3 linked regions of the Callithrix jacchus genome follow. The protein of the gene in region 2 binds, or shares a complex with, the protein of the main gene of each other region. Links are inferred from orthologs where the notes say so. Each region holds a gene or a part of one and is shown on either strand. Other genes may lie near its edges.

Region 1 (4,111 bases), on a different chromosome or scaffold from region 2:
CGAGTAGCTGGGATTACAGGCACGCGCCACCACGCCCAGCTAATTTTTTATATTTTTAGTAGAGACGGGGTTTCACCATGTTGACCAGGATGGTATCGATCTCTTGACCTCGTGATCCACCCGCCTCGGCCTCCCAAAGTGCTGGGATTACAGGCTTGAGCCACCGCGCCCGGCCTACTAAAAGCTTTTGAACTTCACTCTACTCATCTGTGAAATGGTAGTAGGACAACTACCTCTTAAAACAAATTAAGTAATGAATGTATCTAACTCAGCCAAGCATATATAAAGTATAGTACTAGATACATCTTAACAGCTTCCCTTTCTTAGATTTGCAATCTAGAATGGAAATTTCGAAAACTTAAAACTTATTATTTTTTAGAGATGAGGTCTCACTATGTTGCCCAACTGGTTTACAACTTCTAGGCTCAAGCAATTCTCCGCATTTGGCATCCAGAGTAGCTGGCATTACAGGTGCAAACCACTGTGTCCAGCTTGAGAACTTATTTTTGAAAATTACCAAAAAGACGGTAGAAAGAGAAATATTAATATATCACTTTCAAGTCCTCTCTGTTTCTGATCCCATACTGGACACATCCTCCACCCCAAAATGAAAAATACCTTTAGATATCTAAAGTGACAAGAACGTTAAAATTTCACTTAACTGGTTACTTGCATTTACCCCAAAAGTTCTGTCAGTTTTTTAATTAGTAAATATAGTGATGAAATTTATATGTATAATATCTACAGAATATTCTTACAAAACACCAAAAATCAAATTAGAATTTTCACTAATTTACCCATAAAACATTTTGCTAGTAGGCGGCGCAAGCTTGAAGACACACAACCTCCTCACTCCTCCTCATGAAGCTTAGTGCCCTGAGACTGCTGGATAATAAGGAATTTTGTAAACCCATTTTTTAAAAGCTTTTTAATTTTAGGCCTTTACAACACATGGCAGGTCTATATTAACTCCCACACAGTATTCTCTCTTCAGCTAAATTTCTAGCCACTTGAGCAACTACTAATTACGACTTAAGAATGGTAAAATAAAAACGTGACAATCTCTTTTTAAACTTTTTAGCACAACTCAATTTTAAATATGTGTTTGTGCACTCCAGTGCATTTTCGGACAGCTACTTTGGGTTATTTACCAAGACTGTAGACGTGAATACTGCACAGCAACTTTTCTGGATACAGGGATCTGCCTACTGGGGGTTATGGAGATGTTGCTCACCCCCATTTTGTTGCTGTATTATCACTTTCACCAAAGAGCACAAGAGGAAAAAATATTTCCAAAATAAAGATGAGATTGACTTCTGCCCATTCACATCGGGAATGGGACGGAACCTTCTCTTTCAGTGCAAGAATACAGTATATAAAAACATCTAGAGCAGAGGGTCCAAATTGAAAATATCCTCAAACTTACGTGAGGATCTGTTAACCACCACAACGTACCTAAAGGTACTTGTATTTTCCTGCATTGGCTATACAGCTTTGGAACTTAAAAATGAAGCACACTTTAACGAAGAGTTAAAGAGCATTTCCAACCCTGCAACTAACTCATTCGTGTCTGTCAGTTACTTCGGGAGTACTTCTAAGTTTGAGAAACCTCAGGTTCCTTTCCGAGAAACTGTCAAAATTAGCAGAGTTCTCCCCTACCCCACTACCCTCGGGAACCGGACGTTCGCAAAAGCCAAAGGAAAGGAGAGTGTAAAAGAGCAACAGTTCAATGAATTATTCGATTTCTCGTTTTAAATATCTGAGAACTTATGTCGTTCACCTGGTTCCAGTGTTGTCACAGCATCTAACATACAGTAAAAGGACTTGCACAATTTCCCCTCTTCGGAAGAAGTCCTAGCAGGAAGGTAAGGTGCCATCAAATCGCCCCCCGGGGGGGCTGCTGCCAACGTGGATAGAAAACAACTATGGGGAGGGGGTCGTCTTTTTGTGAGCAACTCCACTGCCTCTTGAGGAACATGGGAGCTGCAAAGCCTAAAGCTAGAGCCACGAAGTGAGAGGGCGGGCGGGCGGGAGAGAGACAGGCCTCCATGGGGAAAGGAAAAAAAAAAGCATAAAACGTAGAGAATCAGAAAAGGAAGCATTTTGCTTTGGGGAGGGGGAAGTAGAAGGGAGAACTGAAGGTCTGCTTCCTAAGCAATTTTTCCCTTCCCCTCACCCGCCGCTACACTCACAGGCCAGGCTGCCGCTCTGGGCACTGCCCTTGGGCCGCTCCCAAGCCGGGACGCAGACCCCTTTGCGCCCCCGGTCCCCGGTCCCCGGCCCCCGGCCCCCAGCTCCCGGCGCAGGCCCCGCGGCCGGGTAACAGGAGAGGGTCCCGGGCGGCCGCCGCCCTCCCCGGCGCCCGCGCCCCCGCCCCCGCCCGCCGCCGCCTGGCTCCCCTTTCCTATTTTCGGAGCACACACCCTACAAGGAGCGGAGTGAGTAGGCCTGGCTGAGACCTGCCCCCGCGCGGGGCCTCGGGTGACGGACGGGGGCAGGCACTGGGCGCAGTGAGGAAGGGGGGAGGAAGGGCAGCCGAGGGCACCGCCCGCTGCGGGCCAATGCTTCCCCAGCGACCCGACTCCGGGCGCACAAGCCAGGGCTGAGCCGGCTCCTGAAGGCCCGCGCCGCCGCCCCCGCGGCTCTTACCTTCTCTTCATCAGACAACTGCTCCTCCAGATCCGCCATCTTCCTTCTAGCGACAAACCGCGGCGGCGGCGGCGGCGGCGGCGGCCACCTGACTTCCCCTTTTCCGTGCGGTCCTCCGCGCCGCGCACCCCCGCTAAGGGAGGGGCCCGCCGCTCAGGCCGCCGCGCACGCGCCCCGGGAGCCCCGCCTCCCTCGACCGGCCCTCAGAGCCTGAGCGCGGCTGTGCGCGTGCGCGTGCGCGGGCGCCTGGTGGCCCGGCGGGGGACGGTGTCTCCCAGGGCCACCTGCATAGGTTTGCTAGCTTTCTCTCCCCACCAGTGACCATATGGGCTCAGTCTGCGATGAGTACATTCTGAGCCCTTCGTTATGTTTCCATCAAGTCCTGAACTCTGCTAGCTAAAATGTGAAAAGGTGTGCAATAGAAGCTTTTTAAACATTGGTTTTTCAAATATTAGAAAAAATAGTCGGCTTTCATTAAAATACACACACCCAACCCGCTCCATAATTGAAAGATTGCTCTTGATATATTTCTTATTTATCCAACAAATATTTTTTGGTCCTTCAACGGGGTGTGGGGCACTGTGTTAGTCTCCGGGGTTACAGTGTTGAGGTTCCCCCAAAGCAAGCTAGACATGCATGTTCATAGCAGCACAATTCGCAATTGCAGAGATGGAACCAACCTAAGTGTCTATCAACCAACGAGGGGATAGAGAAAATGTGGTATATATACACCATGGAATACTACTCAGCCATAAAAAAGAAGGAAATAATATTTTTTGCAGCAACTTGAAAGGAGCTGGAAGCCATTATTCTAAGTGAAGTAACTCAGTAATAGGAAACCAAATATCCTATGTTCTCACTTAAAAGGGTGAGCTAAGTTCTGGGGGTGCAAAGGCATAAAATGGACTTTGGGGATTGGGGAGGGGATAAATGACTACATACCGGGAACAGGGTACACTGCTCAGGTGATGGCTGCACTAAAATCTCAGAAATCACCACTAAAGGGCTTATCCATGTAACCAAAAATCCACCTGTACTCCAAAACTATTTATTTCAATAAGACAAACTTCTGTTCTAGGAAGCTCACCTACTACTCTAAACAAACATACATTGAACAGCTGGGGCTGGGTGTAGTGGCTCAGGCCTGTAATCCCAGCACTTTGGGAGGCCTCGGTGGGAGGATCACCTGAGGTCAGGAGTTCGGGACCGGACTGGCCAACATGGAGAAAGTTCTCTCTACTAAAAATACAAAAATTAGCCAAGCCATGGTGGCACATGCCTGTAGTACCAGCTACTTGGGAGGCTGAGGCAAGAGAATTGCTTGAACCCTGGAGGGGGAGGTTGCAGTGAGCCGAGATCGAGTCATTGCACTCCAGCCTGGGCGACAGAGCAAGACTCAAAAACAAAAAAAACCAAAAGCCAAACAACAAAATAGTTGGGGAAGGCATTGGACTATTCCAGG
Region 2 (3,945 bases):
CCAGTGTACAGTGGCTTTGTAAGAGGAGATGGGGAAAGTGTCAAGTTTAAAAAGCAAGACTCACCTCTAGGAAATGGGAAAGCTCATGGTTGATGAGCTCCTTCAGTTCGGATTTCTTCAGCTTGTGCTTGTCTCCCTCCCTTCCGGAATACTGGTGGAAAACGTCGATGAGGGCCACCATGGCCTTCTCCAGCTCAGACATCCTAGGGGCTCACAAAGGAAAGATGCCTTCTCATCTATACCTCATCGTAAGCATTTCGTGTGTTATCGACACAGACCTCAACCCAGACAAGGGGGATGGGCTGGCCTTGCATTCTTTTCAAGCTCAGAGCAGCAGGCAACGCCTGGAAGGGCATTCAGGAAATTTGTGCTTTCATCACAGTCCTCCCACCTGCCTCTTAGACACATGTGGGCCTGCCTTCTCTGTCCCTCTGAGCCACAGGGATATCTTCCCATGCCCTCTGGCTTCTGGTTGGGTTGGGTGAATGGGAAAACTTCAGCAAAAATACAGAGGCAGAGCAGAAAGGGAATTCAGGGATTAATTTCTGCTTCCCGCAGGGTCCCTCTCTGTCCTTGTAAAGCTCCAAGATGAGGTGGTCGAGTGCAGGTGAGCAAAGCATGAACTGCAAGCTGGTGAGACGGTGACTAGGAGCAAAATAAGAAGACAAAAATCAACAGCATTCCTCTTTTCTATCAATAAAGAAGTAGAGAATACAGTGCAAGACACCCTTTTCATATAGCAATGACAGGTGCTGTAGGAGTAAGTTTAGGAGGAAAAATGCAGGTGCTTCCAAGAGATTCTGAGAAACATAAAACGTAGGAACTTTTTCCTTTAAATTCAAATGTAAATTTAAATCATCTTTAATAAAAATAATGGAATTTTTTGGGTGGGTGACATGACAAAAACAGCTGTAAAATTCATCAGGACAAATAAATATGGTAGAATTGCCACGATCTTTTTGAAGAATAACAATAAAAGGTAACTGACCTACCAGGAAAAAAAAAAATGTATCTTAAGTTTAATTGATTAAATGGGTGTGGTTCTGTCGCAGGGAAGGACAGAACCCAGCAGAAAGCTGAGCTGCTGAGCAAGCATTCCACCTCCCGTGCAGGGAAATGGTGGCTCATTCACTGCGGTAACTGGGACGGTACAGGAATATGCTTCTCTGCCGCAATCTCAGTAAGAGCCCTCCTGCTCCCTCACAGCAAGTACCGTACGTCACAGCCTACAAACCAAGGAAATACCTGGTCAGTCTGGGAATGAGGCGCATTTTACAAAGGATGCCTTGTCAGTTGTTTCACTGAACAGACGCGCAGGCAGAGAGATTTACCAGCTTTTGGCCTCGGATTCTAATCATTAAATGAGAACATTTGCACTGTTATAATTAAAAATAAATTAATAAATCAAATATTATCAAAAATCATTCCTATGTTGAATAGATCACTTACATCTTAAAAATAATTTGGAATTAGATGTAAAAATTTTTATTTATTTCTGATCCTCCAAAGGAAACAGGACTGGAGATTTTTTTATACTGGCCAGATCTTTGCTAAAGTCATTGTATTAATAATCAGTATACTTCACAAATAGAACAGCTAAGAGGGATTAAAATTTTTTAGCATTTCATGTTTTCTTATTCTTTGCACTAAAATGTTCGGTTATTGATGTGTATGTGTGCGTGTGCGTGTGTGTATTTTAAAAAACCACACAAAACAAAATACACTTTTGCATCATTCTGATGCTCCTCAAAGTTGGTGATGATTTAGGGAAAAGGAGGTTAAATTGTTTTTCTGCGAATTATGACTAATGGGATTTTTACAAAGGAAAGGCATAAAACATGTATTCCATATATTAGAACCCTAATAGAAACCACTAGAAAATACGGTTTTCTTCATAACCACACTACAAATCAATTAAAAAATTTTTGTTAAATTTTTCCCTTTGACTTAAGAAACAGTTGATGGTTTACAGTTTATCTTGTAAGATAAATGGAAATAAATATCCATTTCTTTCTTACATTCTGTAGATGTTCTACATTAACCTTCTAATATTGAGAACAAGAGAATATTTGAACTTTAACTCCTTCGACAGTTTAGCTAGTGCGTGAAGATCCCTCTAAAGAAGGGGTTCGACTCCCTGAGAAACTGTAAGACTGAGGAAAGTTAAAACTCGCCAAAACTCCACTTTCTTGGACCCAATTTATCTGTAATTGTTATGTAATTTCTGAGTGGTGTCCTGGGGCTGCGGGGACCCTGGCTTTTTAAACTGAGGGAAACTGGAAAACTGAAGTTACTTACCCAGGGCGGTGGAAGAAGTAAGAGGGAGAAAAGGAAAGCATTTATTTATGATATAGGACTAAACTAGCATTAGATTCTCTCTCATTTTCAGCCCCAGTGGGAAACAAAAACCTTGCTCTTCAAATCGTTACAGAAGAGGCAGTGTTTGTAGTATCACTGGGAAAATGTCAACAATCACTTCTGGACCATGAGAGCTGAGGTTTCTCTGATTTATGGCAAAACACAGGCAAACAGCTCTGGCTGTCTAGGGCTGGTGCGGTCGGGTGTCCACAAAGCAGCAATGAAGTGGAGATTAAAGCACATCGTGCTATTGACCCTTCTGAAATGCTGCCAATTATCCTAAAGGGATAGTTTCTACCCCTCCTCCACCACCCTGTTCCACCCAAAACAAAACCATTTCTTCCTGAGCGTCCTCCTGGCCTGGCTCTCTCACCTCTTCCGCGTCTCACCCTTCCTTGTCTCCTTGCTGCAGGCCTCGTCTCTGCTGCCGGTCCTGGAGGGCAGGACTGGTGCACAGGGGCAACCTCTTATCCCCTCTGCCCAGGGAGGACGGATGAACCCAGGTGCAGCCCACTGCAGGCTGTGACAGCCAATGGGGGCCGAGGGTGGGGGCGGCAGGGCTGCCAGGCTGGCACACAGGGCTGCATTGACCAAGCAGCCCGGGGACTTGCCAGGAGCCAGGATTGCACACGGGCTGAGGAAGAAGAAGGGCCTGTGGGGCAGGAAGTGGGGAGTCAGCTTTTTGTGCTATTTATTTGTTACATGAATATTGATGTTCTGCTGAAGGCAAGGTTGGGGGTGGAGAGAGAGAGACTTGGGCTAATTGATTCAAACAAAGCAAATGTGCAGCCAAGAACCAGAAGCTTCCAAGTACAGGCTGAGCGTAGGAGAGTAGGTGGCCTGCGATCTGGCTTCCGATGGAGAGACCCCTGGAGCCTCTCTCCTCTGCCAGCCTCCATGGCTGGCCCCACTGGGCGCGGGCTTCTGTGGACAGTAGTGCTTGTCCGTGGTCAGCCCTGGGTTCAACAGGGCTGCCTCACAGAAGCTGCTGAGCCCCGTGTCTGCAGGGACTGAAATGTGTGGTACTTTGAGGGGAAAGTCCTTGTTTAGCGTGATGTGGATTGTATCCCAAGGCCTTATGCTCCACCCCAGTGTGGAAGGTCACAGACCGGCAGAGTCGCACAATGCCTTAGAGATGCCCTATCCGAACGCTGTTTTACAGAGGTGTGTGGATGCTGTGCCCCTTGCCGAAGCCTCGAAGGAGAAATCCAGTCGTCCCCTCTATGTGCCCTATGTGAGTCTCTGAGTGCAGGGGCCAGTTTGCGGGTTCTTCACAGGAGGGAAGAAGTGGGCGTGCCTTCTGACAAATCACACAAAAGCATTGGCCCAAACTCTCCACACATGTCCATGGGCCCCAAAGGATGCCTGACCCTGCGTCAGGTCCTTCTCCCCACCCAGTTTCAAAGTGGTTGTGGAAGGGTTTCCCACAAGATACCTGTGTACATGGCTGTTTTGCTGTCACCTGTTTTATCTAGAAAGTTCTCTCATTCAGCATCCGTAAGTGTGCCCTGGAAACAGCACGGGGCTGAAAGCTGTGGTCTTGCATGGCTGAGCATGCCCCAGCCTCCTGTGAGGAAGGACCTGAGC
Region 3 (4,140 bases), on a different chromosome or scaffold from region 2:
CAATGAAAAGAACCCAAAGAAGTAGTTCATCTCGTATTTCAGGCTTCCTAGTTATGGTATCTTGGTCTTGCTAAGCATGTAACTAAAAAGCTCAAGTTCATTTTCAGAAACTGTGAACTCAAAGAGAACTAAAACGTTTATTTCTAAAAGTTATTACACGTTCAACTTCCTGTTTTATTTAGACAGCTCATCATGACCATTTCAGGTAACGAAACCCAACTTCCTCTTTATAAAGTGACTAAAAAAAAAACTTCAGTGGTTAGTTATGAGAATGGATGATTTTACTAGCTTTTACAGAAATATTTATAAGGAAATTAGAGTCCATTCATTATCACCAAATTTTCTAAAGGTTTACTGCCTTTAGAAAATGTAACAAAGATAAAAAGCAATAATGACATATATTTGGCAACAAAAGAAGTATGCTAGAAGAGGAAACTGGTCCCAGACCTGCTATTATCAAACCAAGACTGGACCTGCACGGTAGCTCACATCTGTCTGTAATCCCAGCACTTTGAGAGGCCGAGGTGAGAGGATCATGAGGTCAGGAGTTTGAGATCAGCTTGGCCAACACAGTGAAATCCTGTCTCTACTAAACATACAAAAATTAGCTGGACATGGTGGCAGGCACCTGTAATCCCAGGTTTTGGATTACATGCACCTGTAATCCCAGGTTTTGGATTACATGCACCTGTAATCCCAGGCTCTGGAGGCTGCAGCAGGAGAATTGTTTGAACCCAGGAGGCAGAGGTTGCAAGGAGCTGAGACCATGCCACTGCAATCCAGCCCGGGTGACAGTATGAGACTCTGTCTCAAAATAAAAACAACCCAAGACTATTAACGTTATTAATTAAAACACTGTCAGTATCTAAAGGCATCTTAATTGGCACTTTAAAAAATATATTTTCCCAAGTTTAATTAAAGGCATTCTAACCTGGTATCAAAGACAAAAATCCAACAACACTGGTCAATGTGTACCACAAAGGCACAATAAACTGAAAAGTTTATTATTCAAATTATTTGTGAAATTTTGGCTGGGTGCAGTGGCCGAAGCCTGTAATCCCAGCACTTTAGGTGGCTGAGGTGGATGGATCGCTTGAGCCGAAGAGTTGGAGACCAGCCTGGGCAACAAGACGAAACCCAGTCTCTACAAGAAATACAAAAATTAAATGGGCATGGTGGCGCAAGCCTGTAATTCCAGCTCCTTGGGAGGCTGAGGCAGGAGAATCACTTGAACCCGGGAGGCAGAAGTTGCAGCAAGCCAAGATTGCACTAATGTACTTCAACCTGGGTGACAGAGCAACGCTTTGTTTCAAAAAAAAAAACTGTGAAATTTTACTGAAACAGTATTTTTGCTTACTTTTATTTGAATTGTTAACTATTTCCTTTAGAACAATTTATTATAGATTGATTTCCAGCCTAAGCTCATATATAAATGTTTTTGTTTTTGTCCTAAATCTTAAACATTTATGAAGATCGGTTTCCAAATAAGAGAAAATCTAATGCTGTTGTTGTTCGATGGCTTGTTAAGCATTTTAAAATGGCATGCCATATGTAGCTGATCAAGTTATTTTGTACAGAGGTCTTATGGATCTTAACAGTCCCCTCCCCATTCCAATTTCTTATTAAAAAAGATCCAGGTGGATTTACAGAGTACTCAAGGGGGCACATTTTCTAATAGCCACAGTGCGAGACAAATGTAATAATTCTTGCGCAATAAGTTGTCTTGTGAGATCCACTCTAAGTTCTATGTGCCCTAAAATCATGTACTTACTGAAAAACCTGACAAACTGTTATGAAACTGTGCAACTGTCAGAAGAAAAGTTAGTCCACCTAACTTAGAATGTGCTCTTGTATTTGAGACAATTTTCAAGAAATCAGTATACACATTGCACACTGACAAATTCAACTAATCAGACTCCACAGTGGAGCATCAAAGAAGACAGGATGCTTTGTCCAGACTTGAATGTGTTAACATGAGGTTTATTATGTGTTAACAGAAAACCTTTCTGGAGGCGAAGAAAATCCATCAGCGATTCTAGATTTGTTAACAAGAAACAAAATTTTCAAAAATTATCGTTAAAAGGATGTGTCTACAGGGAAAGACTGGTGTTCGAATTCTGAAGCAAAGGCCCTGAGGCTCACAGATTACATCGAATCAGTCAGGCGACAGTACGTGAGAAAAAGTAGTGGATGTGTAGTGAGGTGGACATTTGGGACCTCTCTCTGTCGAGGAGTCGTGACAGCAAAATCACTTCCTGAGGAAGGAGGAGCAAAAGGGAAGTTAAGAGGCCATCCTGATCAGGAAGTGACTGGCCCTAAACTAACCCCACTTGTATCTACAAATGGGGGGATGGGGTGAGCCCCAACTGCTAAAGGCGGTAAAACAACTGCTTTATGGTATGGCGCAACACAACCGTCACCCCCGCTCAGGATTACAGAACAAAGTCCACAGTCACCATCCAATAAAGGAAACGTCTGTTCCCTTGCAGGGAGGCCCCTGGGCTGTGCCTTAGGCCCGGGAGGAAAGGAGAGTCGAGGAACGAGGAACTGGGGCCACCGTGAGGCAGAGGAAAGCCCCGCAAAAGGGAAGCGTCCCGACTGCGGAGAGCGTATGTCAGCATGGGCCAAGAAGTTTCTTTTTCCTGGAGACACTGCCAGGCTCCCAACGCATCCCGGCCGGGCCCCTGTTCCCTGTCGCGGGAGGAGGTAAGAGAAAGAGGCGGACACCCCTTACCTTCTCCTCATCCGACACACGATCATCGAAGTCGGCCATCTTGGGCTGTTCTGGCCCAGCCCGGCTGCGAGCGCGAGGCAGGCCGGGAAGGAAGCCGAGTGATGGAATCACCGCGGGGGCCGTCGGAAGGACCCGCCCGGAAACGCCGACCAAGAGGGCGCCATGTCAGTTATGCGCGGGGGTGACGTCTCCTAGCGCCAGCGCCCTAGGAAGTCAGCTTTGCCTTCGGCGATCTGAAGTCTAATATCTTTCTCATTCCTCATCCATCTGATGGGCGCTGGCAGCGTGTTTCCATTTTTCTTGGCTCCTGGCCTCCATCCAAGTAGCTATTGCTGCTTCTATAAGTTTTTCCGGTACCCGTTTATCTTCCTGACAACCGAGTCCAAAGCTCTAAGAGCTGCTCGGCCGTTGGAACGATCCGTGGCTTTTCCAACCCCGGGGGGGGGGCAGGGGTGTGAAAGGTGACGCTCATCTCGCTTGGAAGCAGTTAACACTTCACTTTGGGGTCACATCTCAGTCCAGTCCTCCAGAACAGGCATTGCTGTCCGCCCCTTCCCTGCCCCACGAAGGAATATGTAGTCCCAATCTTGGGACACGCTCCTCCACCTTCGAAATCTTCTCGGTCCCGGTTCCCCAGGACTCAGCCTTCACAGAGACCAACTGAAGGTCCGCCACTATCCCAGGATTCCCGACTCCCGGTTTCCTGTCCTCCCCTCCCAGCTCCCGGCGCCTGCGGTAGCGGCAAGATGGCGGACCCTGGTTGTTTGGCGGAAGCCGAGGCTGCTGGAACGTGTCCTGCACTTGTTCTCGGCCTAAATCCGACTCTGGGCTGGAGGGAGCGACTGCGGGCCAGATTGGCGGGGACTGGGGCCTCGTTGTGGTTCGTGGCGGGACTGGGACTGCTTTACGCTCTGAGGATCCCTTTGAGGCTGTGTGAGAATTTGGCAGCGGGTGAGCGGACCAGACCCTCTGGGGCAGGGCTGGGGGCCAGGAAAGGTGTTGTGGGCAAGAGCCAAAGGGCAGACATTCTCGGTAGTTATGACTCTGAGGAGTCGACGATGCGTGACCAAGTGCGTTCTTTTTCTTTTGGGCTGCAACCTTGCAGTTGATTGTCAAACCTGCTGCCGCTACCGGCTGGCTCCTCCCTAGAACTCCTAAGGTCCGCCCTCTCTCTTCTGTCCTCGTTTTTTCCGTGGAAAAGCCACCTGACAAACTGTAAGCTTCAGGTATGAGGGCACAAGAGTGCATTCTCAGATTAGGATACATAATTTCTGTACAGCCCCACCACTGGTAGGATCCCTTCAAAGTCATCACTTTGAGTCCCGCCCAGCTGGGAGAACTCACACCCGGACCAGGAAGATGAGCACATCTGTAGTTTAAAGATTTCAAAGAAAGAAAATGGCATG

Evidence for each region.
Region 1: the proteins of S100B (region 2) and CAPZA2 are in contact, whole or in part, in a crystal structure (PDB 3RM1), measured with the Bos taurus proteins. The link is inferred for Callithrix jacchus from reciprocal best matches to the Homo sapiens genes S100B and CAPZA2. Residues at the interface, in NP_001029727.1 of Bos taurus: Ile37, His43, Phe44, Leu45, Glu46, Ile48, Lys56, Val57, Thr60, Phe77, Met80, Ile81, Ala84, Cys85, Phe88; in NP_001013016.1 of Bos taurus: Thr267, Lys268, Ile269, Trp271, Ile274, Leu275.
Region 3: the proteins of S100B (region 2) and CAPZA1 are in contact, whole or in part, in an NMR structure (PDB 1MQ1), measured with the Homo sapiens proteins. The link is inferred for Callithrix jacchus from reciprocal best matches to the Homo sapiens genes S100B and CAPZA1. Residues at the interface, in NP_006263.1 of Homo sapiens: Glu46, Glu47, Lys49, Val53, Lys56, Val57, Thr60, Phe77, Met80, Val81, Ala84, Cys85, Glu87; in NP_006126.1 of Homo sapiens: Thr265, Arg266, Ile269, Asp270, Trp271, Asn272, Lys273, Ile274, Leu275.

The regions. Positions count from the first base shown.
Region 1 is NC_133512.1:87,439,903-87,444,013, reverse strand, and holds the start of CAPZA2 (F-actin-capping protein subunit alpha-2), read right to left. Parts: upstream 2,801-4,111; 5' UTR 2,689-2,800; coding exon 2,650-2,688; intron 1-2,649. UniProt on the Homo sapiens protein: F-actin-capping proteins bind in a Ca(2+)-independent manner to the fast growing ends of actin filaments (barbed end) thereby blocking the exchange of subunits at these ends.
Region 2 is NC_133522.1:52,192,057-52,196,001, forward strand, and holds the start of S100B (protein S100-B), read right to left. Parts: upstream 2,801-3,945; 5' UTR 2,732-2,800; intron 646-2,731; 5' UTR 203-645; coding exon 65-202; intron 1-64. UniProt on the Homo sapiens protein: Small zinc- and- and calcium-binding protein that is highly expressed in astrocytes and constitutes one of the most abundant soluble proteins in brain.
Region 3 is NC_133508.1:150,580,645-150,584,784, reverse strand, and holds the start of CAPZA1 (F-actin-capping protein subunit alpha-1), read right to left. Parts: upstream 2,801-4,140; 5' UTR 2,774-2,800; coding exon 2,735-2,773; intron 2,707-2,734; coding exon of another isoform or gene 2,620-2,706; exon of another isoform or gene 2,491-2,619; intron 1-2,490. Other genes in the region: ST7L (suppressor of tumorigenicity 7 protein-like), read left to right, coding at 3,481-3,685. UniProt on the Homo sapiens protein: F-actin-capping proteins bind in a Ca(2+)-independent manner to the fast growing ends of actin filaments (barbed end) thereby blocking the exchange of subunits at these ends.